2 linked regions of the Bombyx mori genome follow. The protein of the gene in region 2 purifies or fractionates together with the protein of the main gene of each other region. This does not show direct contact. Links are inferred from orthologs where the notes say so. Each region holds a gene or a part of one and is shown on either strand. Other genes may lie near its edges.

What was found. Proteins that work in one complex are often made in the same cells at the same time.
Region 1: the proteins of transcription initiation factor TFIID subunit 4 (region 2) and transcription initiation factor TFIID subunit 9 purify together in Drosophila melanogaster (affinity purification with western blotting; 4 studies listed by BioGRID, with this or other methods). This does not show direct contact. The link is inferred for Bombyx mori from reciprocal best matches to the Drosophila melanogaster genes Taf4 and Taf9.

The regions. Positions count from the first base shown.
Region 1 is NC_085109.1:1,354,466-1,363,035, reverse strand, and holds transcription initiation factor TFIID subunit 9, read left to right. Parts: upstream 1-3,340; 5' UTR 3,341-3,536; coding exon 3,537-3,904; intron 3,905-4,477; coding exon 4,478-4,700; intron 4,701-5,073; coding exon 5,074-5,193; 3' UTR 5,194-5,263; downstream 5,264-8,570. UniProt on the Drosophila melanogaster protein: TFIID is a multimeric protein complex that plays a central role in mediating promoter responses to various activators and repressors.
Region 2 is NC_085107.1:19,833,944-19,842,513, forward strand, and holds the start of transcription initiation factor TFIID subunit 4, read right to left. Parts: upstream 3,831-8,570; 5' UTR 3,808-3,830; coding exon 2,992-3,807; intron 1,831-2,991; coding exon 1,666-1,830; intron 44-1,665; coding exon 1-43. UniProt on the Drosophila melanogaster protein: TFIID is a multimeric protein complex that plays a central role in mediating promoter responses to various activators and repressors.

The sequences.
Region 1 (8,570 bases), on a different chromosome or scaffold from region 2:
CCTCGAGGACATACGTTCCTGGCTGCGCTGGGTCACAGTCGACTCCCCCCCCAGCGTCCCCCGCGTCCCCCCGCTTGTTGTTTCAAATCCGTTATCGCCCCGTTACGTAGTTTCTTCCCGTTCTTATGACGTATTATATTCATAGCATAAGTTTTATTATTTAGTGTGAAGGCTACAATGCGCTTTTTATCGTTTTTCAAAAGCTCTGTTTGTCCCCCTCCCTCCCCCTCCCTCTCCGTCACAGTTGAGTTCTCGTTCGTAATTACCACTCGAGTAATAATTTCCACTGCGGAGTGCCTTTAGCGAACCCGACGCGGCGACGACTTCAGCTTTTGTCCACTATATTTTCATACGTTTGGATATTTTTGTAATGACAACAATTTTGATAAGCTGTGAAAAATAAATGTTATATATATATTTATGGATCTTAATGCTATGCAATTGTTTATTTGAATTGATTTATTTTAAATATAAAGTACGTAATGATGTAAACTAGCTGTACGAAGTTAATGATACGGAAAGTTGAGCTTATTCTGTGTTGTTATCGAATGTAATTGAAAATTTTATTTTTATTTCTTAAATTTTTATTTTATTGTATAATTATAATTAACGTGCAATCATTATTAGTTGTTTAATGCGTTCGATATTAAGTTTATCGACTATAACTGTTGCATATCTCACCTTAAAATTCCGAAATCGATGATGAAATTAAAAAAAAAACGTTTCCCGCGTTTACCATAGAAGTGTAAATCGAGGCCATAGACAAAGGCGAGTGAGGCCGTGCGTATGTAAAACATTATTTTCTTGGTCGCGTACATACATCTTGATAGTTGGGATTTTGTGATGTTAATAGTTCTTCGGTAATTAGAGATTAGTTAGGTTGTTGATATCGTATTCACTGCGACTAGCGTAAGTACATTTTTACCTAAGTAGTTACTTATAGGAAGCCTCACACACGTCACCCTTGGATGTAGAACGGAACTGGAAACAGAGATACGTAAAACACATGAGAAAAAAAAACAGTAATATAAAATTACATACATAACGGAACTTAATTACCGTTATAAGAATAATAATAGTTTCACCAAAAAATTTGTAGCTTCATATTTGAAATCGATAAAAGTTATCTTATTTCATCATTACATCATAAATATTTATAATGAGTAAAGACAATTTAGAAGTTTCTTCAAACATTACATTACATAAACTTCTAACGCTAAATTAGTTGATAATAAACGGAAATATAACGATAAATTACTTGGCAACATTTATCTATATACACATATTTATGTATGCCTTTTATCGGAACATACAGAGCATTTAATTACTAATAAAATATTACATACGAACGCAATCCGTCTCTGTAGAATATCCAGTTGATTTGCGTGTTTAGATGGAAGACATTCGTTTAGTAATGAATGTGTGAGGTACACCGTAGTTTATCGTTTGAAACCTCATTAGGTGATATAATAAGTTTTAAGTGATAGTGATGGACGATTGTCGTGATAATATTCATGGTGTAGCACAATTTGTAGTGGATACTAATCTGGTGATGGCGTTATGGCGCCATTATGACAACAGCAATAATGATATGTGCATTCGTACGCGCGTGTGTATGTGTGTGCACGCGTCACTTCTCTACGAAACATCTATTAAACCGATTCGCTCTACTTTTGTTCTCATTTGTATTTTATAAGACTAATGTCATTCGTAACTTGTGTATGTCATAATGATTGTTGCAATTGAATGGAACAAAAGCAAAGTGAACTGTTTCTATACCTATGTATAAATACGTTTTATCTTAAATTAATATAAATAAATAATATTGACAAGTGTACGTCCAAATTGTCCATGTATTAGTTAATGTACCTAATACAATATTACATTAATGTAATCATTAGCGATATTCTAGTACATTTCGTGAAGGTATCGCCGTGCTGCGACGTGTCAGCGTCCGAAGCGACCCACTTAACAATTGGATTGATATCTGAAAATACTTATTTTTACTGTACACGTAAGTTATTTCATATTTTAACTGAATAAATCGAAATGGTTATTATAGTTGTATGTTTTATTTATTTAATACCCTTCAAAATCCATGTCAACCTTCAGTGACTTTAGAAACAATTCTTGTTGATTCACCATCGTTAAAATAGTCCTACTTCCAAGATACTGTCTCATGAATGAATGAATAAACTGAACATGGCGCTAATCAGAACTGGCTATCTTAGTAAAAAAACCTGCCAGACTGTTATTAAGTGGATATCTAACTTTTTTGTGTAACTTGTCGAAAGGCAAGCAATTGCTTAAATTCCAACAGAACAAAGAAACATCAAACGGGAACGCTTGACTGTTTTGCGGCAGAAAAAAACCAGATTATGGATATCTATTCTAATTTATTTTTCAATTCACAGTTTATAGACGGTTGATAAATGAATATTAATATTCTCTAAATCTAAGAAAATCCTAAAATTAAATGAACCAAATAATACAAACCAGTTTTTCATTTTGTTACAATATTGCCGAAAAATAATATACATACATATATCTTTTTATTTTGAGTACTTTAATTAAGATAAATAAATAAGAAAAATGATTTCTGTTTTGAATGTAAATGCATAAAAGGAAATTTAATATCTAGGTAATATTTTTTTCGTAAGACAGTGCGGGATAAGCGTTTACATTTGTTTAAAGATAAAGGTATTGAAAGTAGAGATATTGAAACCAGCTACTTAGTTAGTTTTGTTAACTAACTGTACAGCTGTTTGATGAACGAAATAAATAAGAAAAAAGGAATTCATTATATATTTTTTGAAGTAAAACTTCTTTAGGCGCGTTGAGAGTGAAATTTAACTCGCGACAGATTCGTTACGGCTAGAGAGAAAAGATACAATTTAGGAAGAGCGAGAGTAAGAAAATAGGTAGGGCGTCTTGTGAACCACTCAACCGTGGAGAGAGGGAAAGGGCAAAGCGAGTTAGGTCGTTTTTTAATTTAGTGACATCTATTGGATTTCGTTTAACTACTACATTGCAAGACCATCGGTGTGAACAGTTTAGTTTCTAAATTATTTACAGAAGGCGGTATTTTAAATAAAAGTAATTATCACTAAACATATTATTATTGTAAAACCAAAGGACTCGTTCGGTAATCATCGAATACTGGTAACAACTTCTTTCTAAGTTAATCTTATTTCTCGAGATAAATTGAAGTTTCACTTCTTTCACGTGCACCAAGTTTTATACGCGCACCAGTTTTTTGTTTGTTTCCAAGTTCTGACAACAACCATAGAGAGATATACTTTTAAATGTGTTCTGAAATGAAGATGTCAATGGCTCAGAATGGCTGACACTGACAGTTTGAATTGACTTGACAATCGTCATCAAACAACATAGATCTGTCACAATCACAGCACAAGTGTTGTTTTTATAGCATTGTTACCAAAATAAAGTATGCCAATACTATGACTAAGAAAAAGATTTTTAAACAAATCAGAAATAATTCGGTCTAAAATTAAAATAACAAATAAAACTACAAGATGTCAGAGAAAGACAAATCCAAATCGGGTGGTCAAGCTAAGCACATTCCCAAAGATGCCCAAGTCATCATGTCCATCATGAAGGAAGTAGGTATCACTGACTATGAACCGAGAGTCGTGAACCAGCTCCTAGAATTCACATACCGCTACGTTACATCAGTATTAGATGATGCAAGGATATTTGCAAACCACGCAAAAAAGAAAACTATAGATCTTGATGATGTGAGACTGTCAGCTCAAATGCAATTGGACAAGTCCTTCACGAATCCCCCGCCCCGTGAAGTGCTACTGGAGATCGCGAGGGTCAAGAATGTTAATCCTTTGCCGTTGATAAAGCCGCATTGCGGGTTAAGACTGCCTCCGGATCGGTAAGTATTGGAAAATGTAGCACACTTTAATCCTATATCTCACAGCACATTATATTAATCTTTCGTGAGTATGGACTTAGATAATTTCTTCAAAAATCAGGATTAGCTTAAATAGCTCAAGGTTCAATCACCGGACTTGAGGGAAAAATACTCCACTTTAGACCACACGTATGTAATTTGCGCACCATGAATTGATTGCAACAATATTGTGTTCACAATCAAAGTTCAGTAAAGTCTTCTTGTAAACAATATCTTTAGGTGACAGATTGTCTTATTACAATTTGTAAGTAGTTACTGATACTTCAATACTGCCTGTTACTAAGAAGTCTTCAAACCTTACTGAAATAATGTCAGAATACTCCATAAACACCAATGGTTGCATTTGGGAGCCTGGTATAATAGTAAAAATGATGAATAGAAATACACTATGGACCAATTCCGCTAACAAAGGAAATTATGGAATAATTTTGATTAATTTTGTGTGAAACATGAGATTCCCTTAACACCCAGAGCCTTTTAATATGGTTAACTTGTAAATCGCTGCATGTTTACAGAGAATATTCATTTTTCCAGTTACTGCCTGTCATCCTGTAATTACAAACTGAAACCAGCAACCAAGAAAGTGATCACAAAAACTACGATAACCCCTTCCCCGTCCATAAAAACGGTCACCACATCCAAAGCACCTCAACAGACAGTTGTTATGAAGAGACCACCGGGAGCAATTGTGAATGTGGGCACCCCAAAAACCAGTCTCGGAACAAAACCTGTACTGAAATTTTCATCAAGCAGTAAAGTAAGAATTTGGTTTAATTTTAAAATTATAGAATAGATAAATAGACAGCACTATGCTTTATCATATTCATCACAGATTGAACTATTAAAAAGTGGTTTCTTTATTTCCTAACAATAATTTGAAATGTTGAAAACTGATAATCTATATTATGATATAAACAAAACGAAATATCTATTTTGTCTAATTAAATGTCAACTTATATTTGATAATATCAAAATTGCGTCACAATTTTTTTTTATTATATCTGATTATGTATTGAAATCTACATTATAAATTAAAACTAATTTTAATCTTTCATTTTTTATTTGCTTTACATTATTTCTGACATTTCATAGTTAGCACAATATTTAAATGTCAATGAATTATATTGCAGGTAGTAAAACCAGCTGTAAGAGTGACAGCTGGTCCTTCCTCACAGGCTCCTATCAAGATGGAGACAGACGAGCCAATGAGCCACAAACGGAAAAGAGAAGACGACGATTATGATCTATAAATAATTAATAGGATCACGATCTTTCTGCCTGGAATCAACATTTTGATATTAAAAAGTATCATGTGTTTAATCCTGTTTGTTTAGTGATTAATTCCATAAAACCTGATGATGCAAATTGCTCAGATTGTATGGTTTATATGACTAAGGGTATTTTAATTATTACTGTAGGTAGAAACAACAAAAAAATTGAATTTTTCCTGTTTTTTTTAAGTGAATCATATTTCAATGAAATAGCTTGCCAAAAGTTCTAAAGATAATATAATAACAGAAAGATTTAAGTAAGAGAATCTGAGATTAAAAGAGTCACTGTCTGACTGTGCCCTATAATTTAAGTAAGATCTGGAGGTGAACTCATACCGTTTTGATGCACAACTAGATTCTTTTTAATTTGCGACCGTATAGCTTGGCTGCCGTGCAAATTTTGAATTGAATTTGATATTATGTGTTGTAGTTTTCTAGATGAGAACAGGATATCTACAGTGATTTAACATACATTTAAGAAGGCATTAAAATAGAGTAGGTAAGATAAAAATGCATTCACAGAACTTGTCATCTACTACACTCGCGAGCAAAAGTTTGGAATCACTTACTTGAAATTGATTCCGCGCGATCTTGTGTACTAAATATTTTTTTGATAATCATAAAAATGAGATCATTTTAAAGGTTGAATTCCTAACTTTAAACTGATACCAAATTCATTAAAATCAAGCCAGTATTTAAGAAGTTATCTTGGATTAAGTGAAGGAATAACGAAAAAGACGTGTTTCAATTGCTTGATACGTCGCGAGTTGCGGCCTACTGACCCCTATAAAAGCACCTGTTATCGGATTTTCTTTATCAGTCGACTTTCACACGTTGACTGGTACATATCTCGGCTACTTTTGACTCTTTACCTTGTACGACAATTGGGACAACACCTACAGAAGTAGCACAAATCGTAGCCCTATTGCAAGAAGAGCTCAGCCAGCGGATTGTCGCTCGTCGGCTCCAAATAAGCCATTCCTGTGTTTCAAAAGTTTGCAAGCGCTTTCAAGAGACTGATAGCTTTATCCCGAGACCAAGATCTGGACGGCGCCGGGGCACATCGGAGAGGAATGACCGTTTTATCGTGTTAACCTCTCTCCGAAATCGGCATTAACCTGGTGTCCACGTCCAACAGGAGCTCCGAGATGTTCGTAGGGTAGCAGCTAGCAAGTAGACAGTTCGTCGACGACTCAAGCAAGCGAATCTGACTCCAAAAAGGCCTGTCACAGGCCCGAAACTCACGGTAGCTCATCGACAAGCACGCCTTCAATTTGCTCGTACCAATCTTAATTGAGACGTTGAGCAATGGAGGCAAATCCTGTTCTCCGACGAGATCAGGATGTGTTTGCATGGTAGCGACCGAAGAGGTTGGGTCTACAGGTGGCCTGGGGAGCGATTTGCGCAGTGCTGTTTCGCTGAAACAGTGGCTTATGGGGTCGGCTCTTGTATGATGTGGGCCGGCATTTCCTTCGACGGTAAAACCGAGCTTGTTTTCGTGCCTGGCGGGGGACAAGGAGGCGGTCAACTTCGGACGGGTACATTTCCAATATTCTGCTGGAACATGTCGTTCCCTATGCGGGATATGCCGGTGATAGCTTCCTCCTTAAGCACGATAACGCTCGTTGTCACACTGCCCGTGGAACAACTGAATACTTCGAAGAAGTCTATATCGCCACATTGGACTGGCCTGCGCTCAGCCCTGACTTGAATCCTATTCAGCACGTGTGGGATGAACTGAAGAATAGGGTTCGTTCCAGAACTTCTGCTCCTTCATGCCTGAATGAGCTGAAATCGGCGTTGATTGAGAAGTGGGAAGGTATCCCACAAGAATCAATTCAAAACCTGATCAGGTCTATGAAGAATCGTCTTCGAGGAGTTATTAGGGCAAGGGAAGGGAACACAAAGTACTGACATTTAATTTTAAGGCTAAATAAAATTTTTATTTATTAATTTTTGTTGTTTTATGCATTCATTATTTTTCCATATTTCCTTTGTTTCCTACCTCCTTCACTTAATCCGGAATAGCTCCTTAACTACTGGCTCGATTTGAATGAATTTGGTATCAGTTTAAAGTTAAGAGTTCAACCTTTAAAATGATCTCATTTTTATGATTATCAAAATAATATTTAGTACACAAGATCGCGCGGAATCAATTTCAAGTAAGTGATTCCAAACTTTTGCTCGCGAGTGTATTATTTTATATCTTCAAATTTTTTGCAAGTCAGTCAAATGTATCCATTTTTTTTACCTCCTGTTGCATTTAGCTATCGTTGATAGATATCAATTTCATGGACACATTGAGCTCAGCCTCTTTTTGTAATAGGAAATAAAATCAATTTTGTGCTAAGTTTAGGGTAAGTTTATAAATATTAAAGTTTTTTTTTAACTTTCTGTTTCATTCTGTTTGTTTAGATCACGGATGAGCAACACGCGGTCCGCCATCTTTCTCGTTTCTGTTCTGTTCTTTTCTTGTTTGTTTTTATCCTGCATTAGTAATATGTGGAAATTTCTTTTTTTTTTTCTTCTAATATTATAAGTAAAGCTTCGTAAATTATTATTAGGAGTTAACCAATGGGCGGTCCGTCAAAAAAAAAAATTTAAATTGGCCAATTGATTAAAAAGGTTGCTCACCCTTGGTCTAGATTTATTTAATAGTTCGAGGTATGGTTGTTTTTAAAAGTCCTGCATACTAGATTGAGATATGCTAGGTAGGAAAGTCATCATTTTAATTAATTATGGAGATAAGTCAAACACAATCAATAAAACTTGAAATATAATTTATTCTATTAAAATTTTTGATATTATATTGATTTCTGAATATAAAATATAACTAAAAACACAGTGTATATGTCTTAAGTCTAATGTTGTTTGTTTATGCTTAATAATATTATTTCTTTTCGTATTTGTAGAAACCTTCCCCAGTCTTCACACCTAATTTTCCTTCAGCAACAAGCTTTTCTAGCAAGGGTATAGGTTTGAAGAGTTGCTGATCCGGAAACTTCTTGTGCCAGCCATCCAAGATAAACTTGTTTGTGTCTAAGCCAACATAGTCGGCCAGTTCTAGTGGACCCATGGGGTAGCCAGCGCCGAGCTTCATTGCTATATCAATGTCTCGAGCTGATGCATCTCCTGGAAATGTTCAGTGCGGTCAATAATTTCACAGAGCAAGAGATCACAAGTTGTGAGTGTGTGGTAATATACCAAACCAGGAATAGTAATGGAGATATTCACATTATCATGTCCAATAAAACACCATGTGGGCAGCTATATTGATCTTATTTTAATATTATAATGTTCATAAGATATATATATATATATATATATAATATTTTTTTATTGTTACGGAAAACTGA
Region 2 (8,570 bases):
GGCTGGAGGCCATGCTTGTTGACACCGTCGCGACGCCAGGATGCTGCACCAATAGATCCAGCCATTAATCATTGACCATTTTATAAATATCTATATTGCTGCCACCACACTGCACCACAAACTATGTTACTCGGTAAACTCTCGACTCATTTTTGAGAATTTTAAGTTTAATACCGGACGAGAGTATACCAAGACATCTAAACGAACGCAAATAAACTATCATTTGTCAAGGCGTCAATCACAAGCTTTTTAAAATATAAATATATGGAAATGCTTTAAATGTAAGGTGCATATGAAACTGGTAAAACGTAATTTTATCAAATGCATTTTGGTTATTTTTGGTGAATCATTGCAAGCTGGCAATTGCATCCAATTAAAGATATTAAATCATTTCAACCAAACACAAAAAATAATCATATAATTTACAACTATAACTCTAAATAGTTACATCTCCACTTCATCCAGAGAATTTTGAAACCAGGTCGTCCTCAGAAATGCTCCATAAATGAAGAAGCTCCATTTATTAATTTCATTAATAATTTTATATTATTGAAAGCATTCCATAATAGTGCACTTATTACTATATAGTTTCACTTGGAAGTAATCAGGCTGCTACAATATTATAAGTTTTCCAAAGACATTTGGACATTATGCTCACCCTTGCATACTTTATTCCTTCACCTTATTTAAAAAAAATATACGATACATACATAACTGTGTATGTGAAGACAGTGCATCAAAGCAATCATATTACAATAATCCCACTTGTAGCATGGTACTCATATAATGCATTTTCATATTACGCGATTTCAGCCCCTTGTATAACACGGGTGTTCACCTTATAACACGGGGATTTTTATACTGTGAAATTTATTATGATTTATACAGTTCATAATTAATTTTGCGTACTTTTGCACATTGTGTTAATCATTGTTGTTATAAAATAAAATTAATTAATTTATTTTGTGTTCCTAGTTTATGAATTGTAAAAACATTGGTTATATTGCATTATATTTATATATATTTGTATAAAACGCGTGTTATGGGATCACACAAGTGCGTCATATGAAAATACTCCTACAACGTGTTTCCTATAACATGGAACCAATTGACTGTGTTATAGGATGGATTACTGTATAATAATTTATAATAGATATTTTTGATATTTTTAAACAATGGCTTGTCTGTTATACAGTTAAGATTATATTAATCAAATAACTTATAATTTCTAAAATTTATAAAAAATTTATTAAAGTATAACACTAAATTATAAATATATCTATAAACACATATCTAATTATATTGCATATATTATTGTATTTACTAATAAATATTTAAATACTTGAAGCAGCTTAATAACTATGCATAATAAGCATGCTCTACAGCTAGCACGGACATTTGGCTTATACTTAGATGTACTGTTGGGGTACCAGCGCATATATTTATGCCTTACATTAAACTAATGAATCCAGGTAATTAGTATTTATAAGTAATGATACTCCAATTAGAATCTTCTTACCTTGTTAATAAGAACATGCACCTTCACCACATTTGTACATGCATGAACAACATGAAATTGGACAAACATGAGATTCTCAATGTGGCGCAAGAGAGAGGGGGGGTTGTCCAATCTCAGTCAGGGTGTGAGTGGTTGTGCCTACTTACTGCTGGCACAGTGGACAGCCTGATGGTTTGAGGCTGGGGCGTCGTGAGAGAGCTGGCCGCTGGAGCGGGACCCACTCTCAGCAACTGGTATTGACCATTCTCTGTCTTTAACAACAAATGACCCTGCTGGCCCGGTTGTAGACTTGGTAGTGTTTGCAGCGTTATCTAAAAATTGAACGCTTCAATTCAATTTCACCTACTTCTTCATTAAATGAAGAGTAACAAGTGAAAGAATATATATTTTACTAAATATAAAATTGGAATGCGAATTCCTAAAGCAGGTCATTTGTTAAAATTTATAACACACTTCAGTGACATGACAACATTGACGGGACAGGTGACTGTGCAAAACTAACATGTATATGATATGATTATGACAAGGTTAGGATGGGTTAAGCTATTATTGATTACAATATTATACAAAAGCCCGAGTAGCACAATGCAATTATATATGACATATATGACATCTGAAATGAAGCTTTCTCAGATTCCATTAAACTGGTAAAGATTGCTTGATTTCATAAATTTTACTAATATTTTTATTTGTAGCAGTTTTATGGATTCCCAGAAAATTATATAATAAAGTTTAATTTATAAATCCATGTTGTATTAGGTTTATATTTTGAGGCATTATTTGATTGTAGGGTAGCAGAATTCAAAGTTAAATTTCAGCTTGTTTATGATATGCAAACCACTGAAAATTTGTTGAATCACCAGTGGGCCCATTTCCCATTGATAAAAGTTTAACAAGCAGTATTCTGTGTTTATGTGACAATTTGTGCAAATATGCTAAGAGTTTTAGATGACAGTGATGTTGCCCGAAGAAATCCATCCTCTTCATGTTTCAGTGAAATTTATTTACAGATAAGTGGGTATCTAAGAATTGTGTTAATATCTTTTGTACATAACCATAATGAACCATGTTATAACATTTATTTTTACAGCATAACATTATAATGCAGAAAGATCCTGTAGATTTTTTCTTTTTTGTTTTAGTTCCTCTATAATGTCTATTGTTAATTTGTTTTAGGACTGATAAAAAGACAATAAAAACAATAGAAGATTCTGATTTGATTAAATTAGAAATTAATAACATTAACTTATTTTAAGTTTAATGATTTTTATCTTTTACAAACATTTCAGAAAAGTTGCAATATACTATGTTTTGAATTTCCTAAATATTGTTTTATTTATAAAAGTTTTTTTTTTTTTGGTGGTATATTTACTTTACAACTTGTATCAGTCCTAAAAGTTTTAAATAAGTTTTAGTGACAAAACGCTTGGATAAATAATTAATGTATTAATATTTTAACATTTGAGACTTACGCCTGGTCCTGCAGCTCTGGTGCCAACAACTTGTGGGGTGCCTATCACTACTCTTGGTGATACTGTTGCTACTGACTTTTGTGCCGCAACTGCTGGAGCACCAGCTCTCATATTCAGAATCTGAACATTAGGGAGTATTGTGGGCTGACTCGAACCCAAGTTCTGAGTTGTTACAACTACATTTTGTCCAGGTTTGTTCAAAGTCATTACATTTGGTATTGAACCGGACATGCTTGAATTGGCTGTCATCGGTACTGTGACCATTCCAGACTGTATTCCCACTTGGCCCGAAGACGTCCCCTGTTTTAAAACTAAAGGAGGTTGCATCGCGTCTACTGACGTTATCAAATGATTTTGGGACGAGGACAACCCAACGAAACCGTTCGGAAGTGACTGAGCGGGAAATGTCACCGAATTTGGGTTAGAAAATGCTTGAGCCTGAGAATATATAACTTGTATGTTATCGTTACAATTGGTCACAGTACCACCCGGTGTCAAAGAGGAATAAGTACCAGGAACACTTGATTGGACATTATTACAGGACGTGCTATTTGTCAACGAGGGTCTGTGTATACTGTTCGCGGCAATACCGCAGCTAACTCCGCCTGTTGTATATTTATGACCACTTATAATAGAGCCCGCGTTCGAACTTAGCCCGGGAAACTGAGATGATAAAACGTTCACTAAAATATTTTGTGACGGCGCCGACGATACGTTAGTAACTAATTGGTTTTCGAGAGTGCCCACGATCGCGTTCACGGCTTTCTCGTCGACGTCTGTGGACAAAGCTTCCTCCAAAAACTCCGTTGACGCCATTTTCTACAAATCAGCGGATATGACACTGGACGGTTACAAACCGGTATTTACCGACAAAATGTGGTATCACTGCTTTTGGAAACAACTTTTATTTTTTACTTTTTAGATTTTTGTCTGTTTGATAAAAAGTACTTTTTTTAAGACAGCCCAAATAAAATCACTACCTTTTCAATAAAAAGAATAATTTTGTTATTTGACTGAAAATTGTACAAATGTTGGTAATACATGCTAAAAGTTGTCATACCTCAGATGACTATATACAATATTTACAGTTAAATACACAGGGACATAAAATAAGGTACATAAATAAATAAATAAACACCAACTTTGTGATCTGTTAAAAGTGTCCGCCAAAAAGTAGAACAGCGTCTTTGTACAAAGGTGAGCCAATTTACAACTGCAAAGGTTTCAGGCTAAAACTTATTCTTAATTCGCTATTCATAACTATATTTTAATTTTAAGTCTCTTTTGTTGTGATTGTGTTAGACACTTTATAAATTACGTTCTTATCAAATCCTAATGTTATAATACCACATTTTACTCCATCTAAAGTGATCGACATTCCTTAATGAATTGAATTATAATGAGGTCTAAGTCGCAAGTCGCAAAATTTTAGTTATGATATTAATTTATATTTTTGGAAAAATATTAACAAGCTAAAAAGCTACGTTAATATTTTTTAAATTATCTATACCAATATTATAAAGAAGAAAGATTTGTTTGTTTGTTTGTATTGAATAGGCTCCGAAACCACTGAACCGATTTGAAAAATTCTTTCACTGTTTCGAAGCTACATTATTCCCGAGTGACATAGGTTATATTATTTTTTGAAAAATTTAGGGATCTTACTAAAACTAAAACTCCAATAATGTAACCCAAGGTGTAAAAAAATTACCTTCAATATTCTTTCCATCGCGTGCCCTGCGAAAACTATTGATAATAGAATAAAATAATGTACAACTTTGTAGAACACATTATTTACAAAAAGTGTCGCAACAGCATATGTACTCTTATAGTTATTCCGCAATAAGTGTTCTTTTATTTAAAAAAAAATAAAACAACGTCAAATATCATTGAATTTTTTATTAAAGACCCGAGCGGAGACGGTGCGGGCCGCTAGTACTGTATAAATTGAATTAAATTCACGAAAATTTTAGTGCGTTTCAATATGATTAGTAGCATAAATAAAGTAGAGTAAACGAAATAAACGAAATAAAACACGATTTTAGGGCGAAATAAAGAAGGGACTTTAAGTGGGCTCCCTCAGAGGGTAGAACCCAAATATATTAAGTGTATAATCTATAGGCAGAACTAAGGAGTACCATCTAGTATATTAAAAAGTGTCCACTGAAAGGGAGCCAATTAAAGTGCTTTCATAGTAGCAAGTGGAAAGATTTTAAAACAGCGCCATAAACGACCACACTGCTGGTATGTTCCGATTTGCACAGCGAGCACTGTAAAGTGTGACGACAAATTAGTATACTGCGAAGCCGTTCCTTTACAGTACAGTTTAATGTCATCGACGTGGTCATGGCGGTGTTTTCACTTCAGCAAAAATTCTTGTTTAAATTTAGTTATATTTGAAAATAGAATATTCAAATTATTGTCAGTTGAATAAATCGCCAAAAGTAAACTGTATACTTTTTAGTAAAAAAAAAGTTGTTTTTCAAGCAATTTAATGTATAATAACTTAATAACCGTATTATTGAAATGAGGTTATGCACGGTAACCAAATCCGTCTACAAAAAAAGTAAAAGCAGTATTAAATTAGAGTCAAAAGGAGACCCCTTTCCAATAAACAGAGGCGTAAGACAAGGTGACCCATTATCTCCCAAGCTGTTTAATGCAGTACTGGAATGCACATTTAGAAGATTAAACTGGGATAACTATGGTATTATAATCAATGGAAGTCGCCTCAATCATTTGAGATTTGCAGATGATATTATCTTGCTAGAAGAAGATCCTAAGAAACTTGAACACATGATTAAAGAAATAGTAGAAAAAAGCAGAGAAGTAGGGCTAGAAATTAATGCAGATAAAACGAAACTAATGACGAACTCAACAGAAAGAAACATAGAGGTAAACGGAATCAAGTTCGAATATGTGAAGGAATTCGTTTACCTAGGACAAATTATATCTTCTGAAGACTCCATGTCCAAGGAAATAAACAAAAGAATAGCATGCGGTTGGAAAAAATACTGGTCCTTGAAAGAGATAATGAAGAATAAAGATCTAGGTATACATATCAAGAGAAAGACTTTCAACACTTGTATTCTCCCTTGCATGACTTACGGCTGTGAGACATGGAAATTAACTGACAAACATAGAGAAAAACTTGCTAAAACAGAGAGAGCAATGGAAAGAAGCATGTTGAGTATCAGACTTAGTGCAGAATTCGAAATTGGGAAATAAGAAGGAAGATAAAAGTAACGGATATAATAACTCGTATAGAAAATCTTAAATGAAGTTGGACAGGACATATTATGCTACGTGTAATAAGAGAAAATCTTTACTGAATATAAGGTTTTAATAAGCTAAAATTAACAGTAAAATTTGCTTTGATTACATTAGGTACATTGACAAATAACGAATAAAACAGATTGACAATTACGTCAACTTATGGCTGATAATTTCAACTAAGAAGTTTACATCACTACGTTGCAAAAAAAACAAGTGGAGTAAACAAGTAACTTTATGGTATCCAAGAGGGGACACCAGAAGACAGGGGCGACCAAAAACGAGATGGAGCGACGATACACGCCTAACCCTAGGACCATACTGGACCAGAGTTGCAGAGGACCGAGCCCAATGGAGAGAGCTGGAGGAGGCCTATGCCACGAGGCACGCTGAACTGCGAGATATACTATAAGAAATAAAATGTAAAAAAAACACAAAAATGTAAAATTTCATGGTTGTAGTTCGGAATTAAAGGGCTTTATTATTATTATGCACGGTAACAGTGATGAAGTGAAGATTTATGAAATCATGTATTTCCTTAAGTTACTGCGACTGTATACTGTCAGTCCTTAACGTCACAAATATCTCTGCAGTAAGAGCACTGAACACTGCTCGCAGTGTAAATCGGAACAAAGCCTTCACTGTAATCCAGCATACTTCACTCAGTTTAAAAACTTCTTCATACTATTTCCCCTTGCAACACTAGCGGTAATTCGGTGACTTTTGGAACTATAATGTGCTATTTACAGATGGACACTTTTTCAACTTGTCCCCTATACAATATGGTACTCCTTACCTCTACTCTCCATGTTTTTCGATGAACTAAGTACGATATTTCTGAAAATATGTTTGGATTGTGTAATACATCGTGTTAGTAGCAGTTAAATAAAAAGATAAATGGCCATTATGGCGGTTTTGCCAAAAGTTAAAAAGTCTGCAATGATAAGTCATGAGCTTACGTATTATTTAATTAGATTCAAAACCCATTTTAGTCAAGATTATGCTAGCTTCACCGGATTTCTTACAGTTTAAACTTTATAACTTTATAAAATATATTTTTTATAACTTTACTAAGACTTACTAATCATTTTTCAAAATACGACGTTGGCAGCTATGGAAATATAAGAAATCGATTGCCATACTGAAAAAAAGACAAATTTTATCAAACGTCAATTTAATATACGTCAATTCAATTTAATTTCTACTTCTAGTTTTACACTTGTTCTGTTAGTGTGTTATGTGTTTAGTTTTGTATTTTTAAAATTTTTTAAAACTATGACCGTGGCTTTTAATACTAATTTAAAGTAATAAAAAAATGTTTTAAATAAATCTAAGGTTAGTCCATAAAATATCTTATTAACATTTAGAATATTTGATTTTAATAAAATACCGTGCTGTTTTTGTAAATAAATCGTAAGTCCTTTGCAATTTATTCACGAACTAGATTTGATATCCATTCTACATCTGCCACATATATGCCCAGTGGAAATAAAGTGGGCGTTTGATTTTCCATGTTATTACTTCGGATAAGTCAAGAGACATAACTTTCCGGTATTTTAATTAAATTCAACCAGTATTTCAAGAGTAGAGTCGTTCAATTATCATAATATGGTAATGGGTACTTAGATTTTGTAACATCAAATATAAACAAGTTATTATTAATAAAAATTAATCTGACTCTTTCGTTTTTAATTTGAACTGGAACAGTAACAATATACAACTTTTATTTTTATCAACAAATTCCGAAATTATCATTTATAAATTGAAACATTGAAAATATTTAATAGTAAAAAACATATCTTTCTAATTAAAAATTCAGACTAATAAACTACTTAATATGTATATTACTACTAAAGTATATTAACTTTGTAACTATATTTTAAAAATTATACAAAAATTCACACATCTTTTTTTTTTATTTATTGCTTAGATGGTTGGATGAGCTCACAGCTGGTGTTAAGTGATTACTGGAGTCTATAGACATTTACAACGTAAATGCGCCACTGACCTTGAGATATAAGTTCTAAGGTCTCAGTATAGTTACAACGGCTGCCTCACACTTCAAGCCGAAACGCATTACTGCTTCACGGCAGAAATAGGCGGGGTGGTGGTACCTGCCCGTGCGGACTCATGAGAGGTCCTACCACCAGTGATATTTGTACGAATTAGTAAAACATAATAGTATATATAATTTTAATCATAAAAATCAAGTAGGTAAATAATAAAAAATGTTTAATGTAAACCAAAATTTAATAAAGGAACAAAGAGGTAGGTAATAGACAAAATTAAATTATTATTACCATATT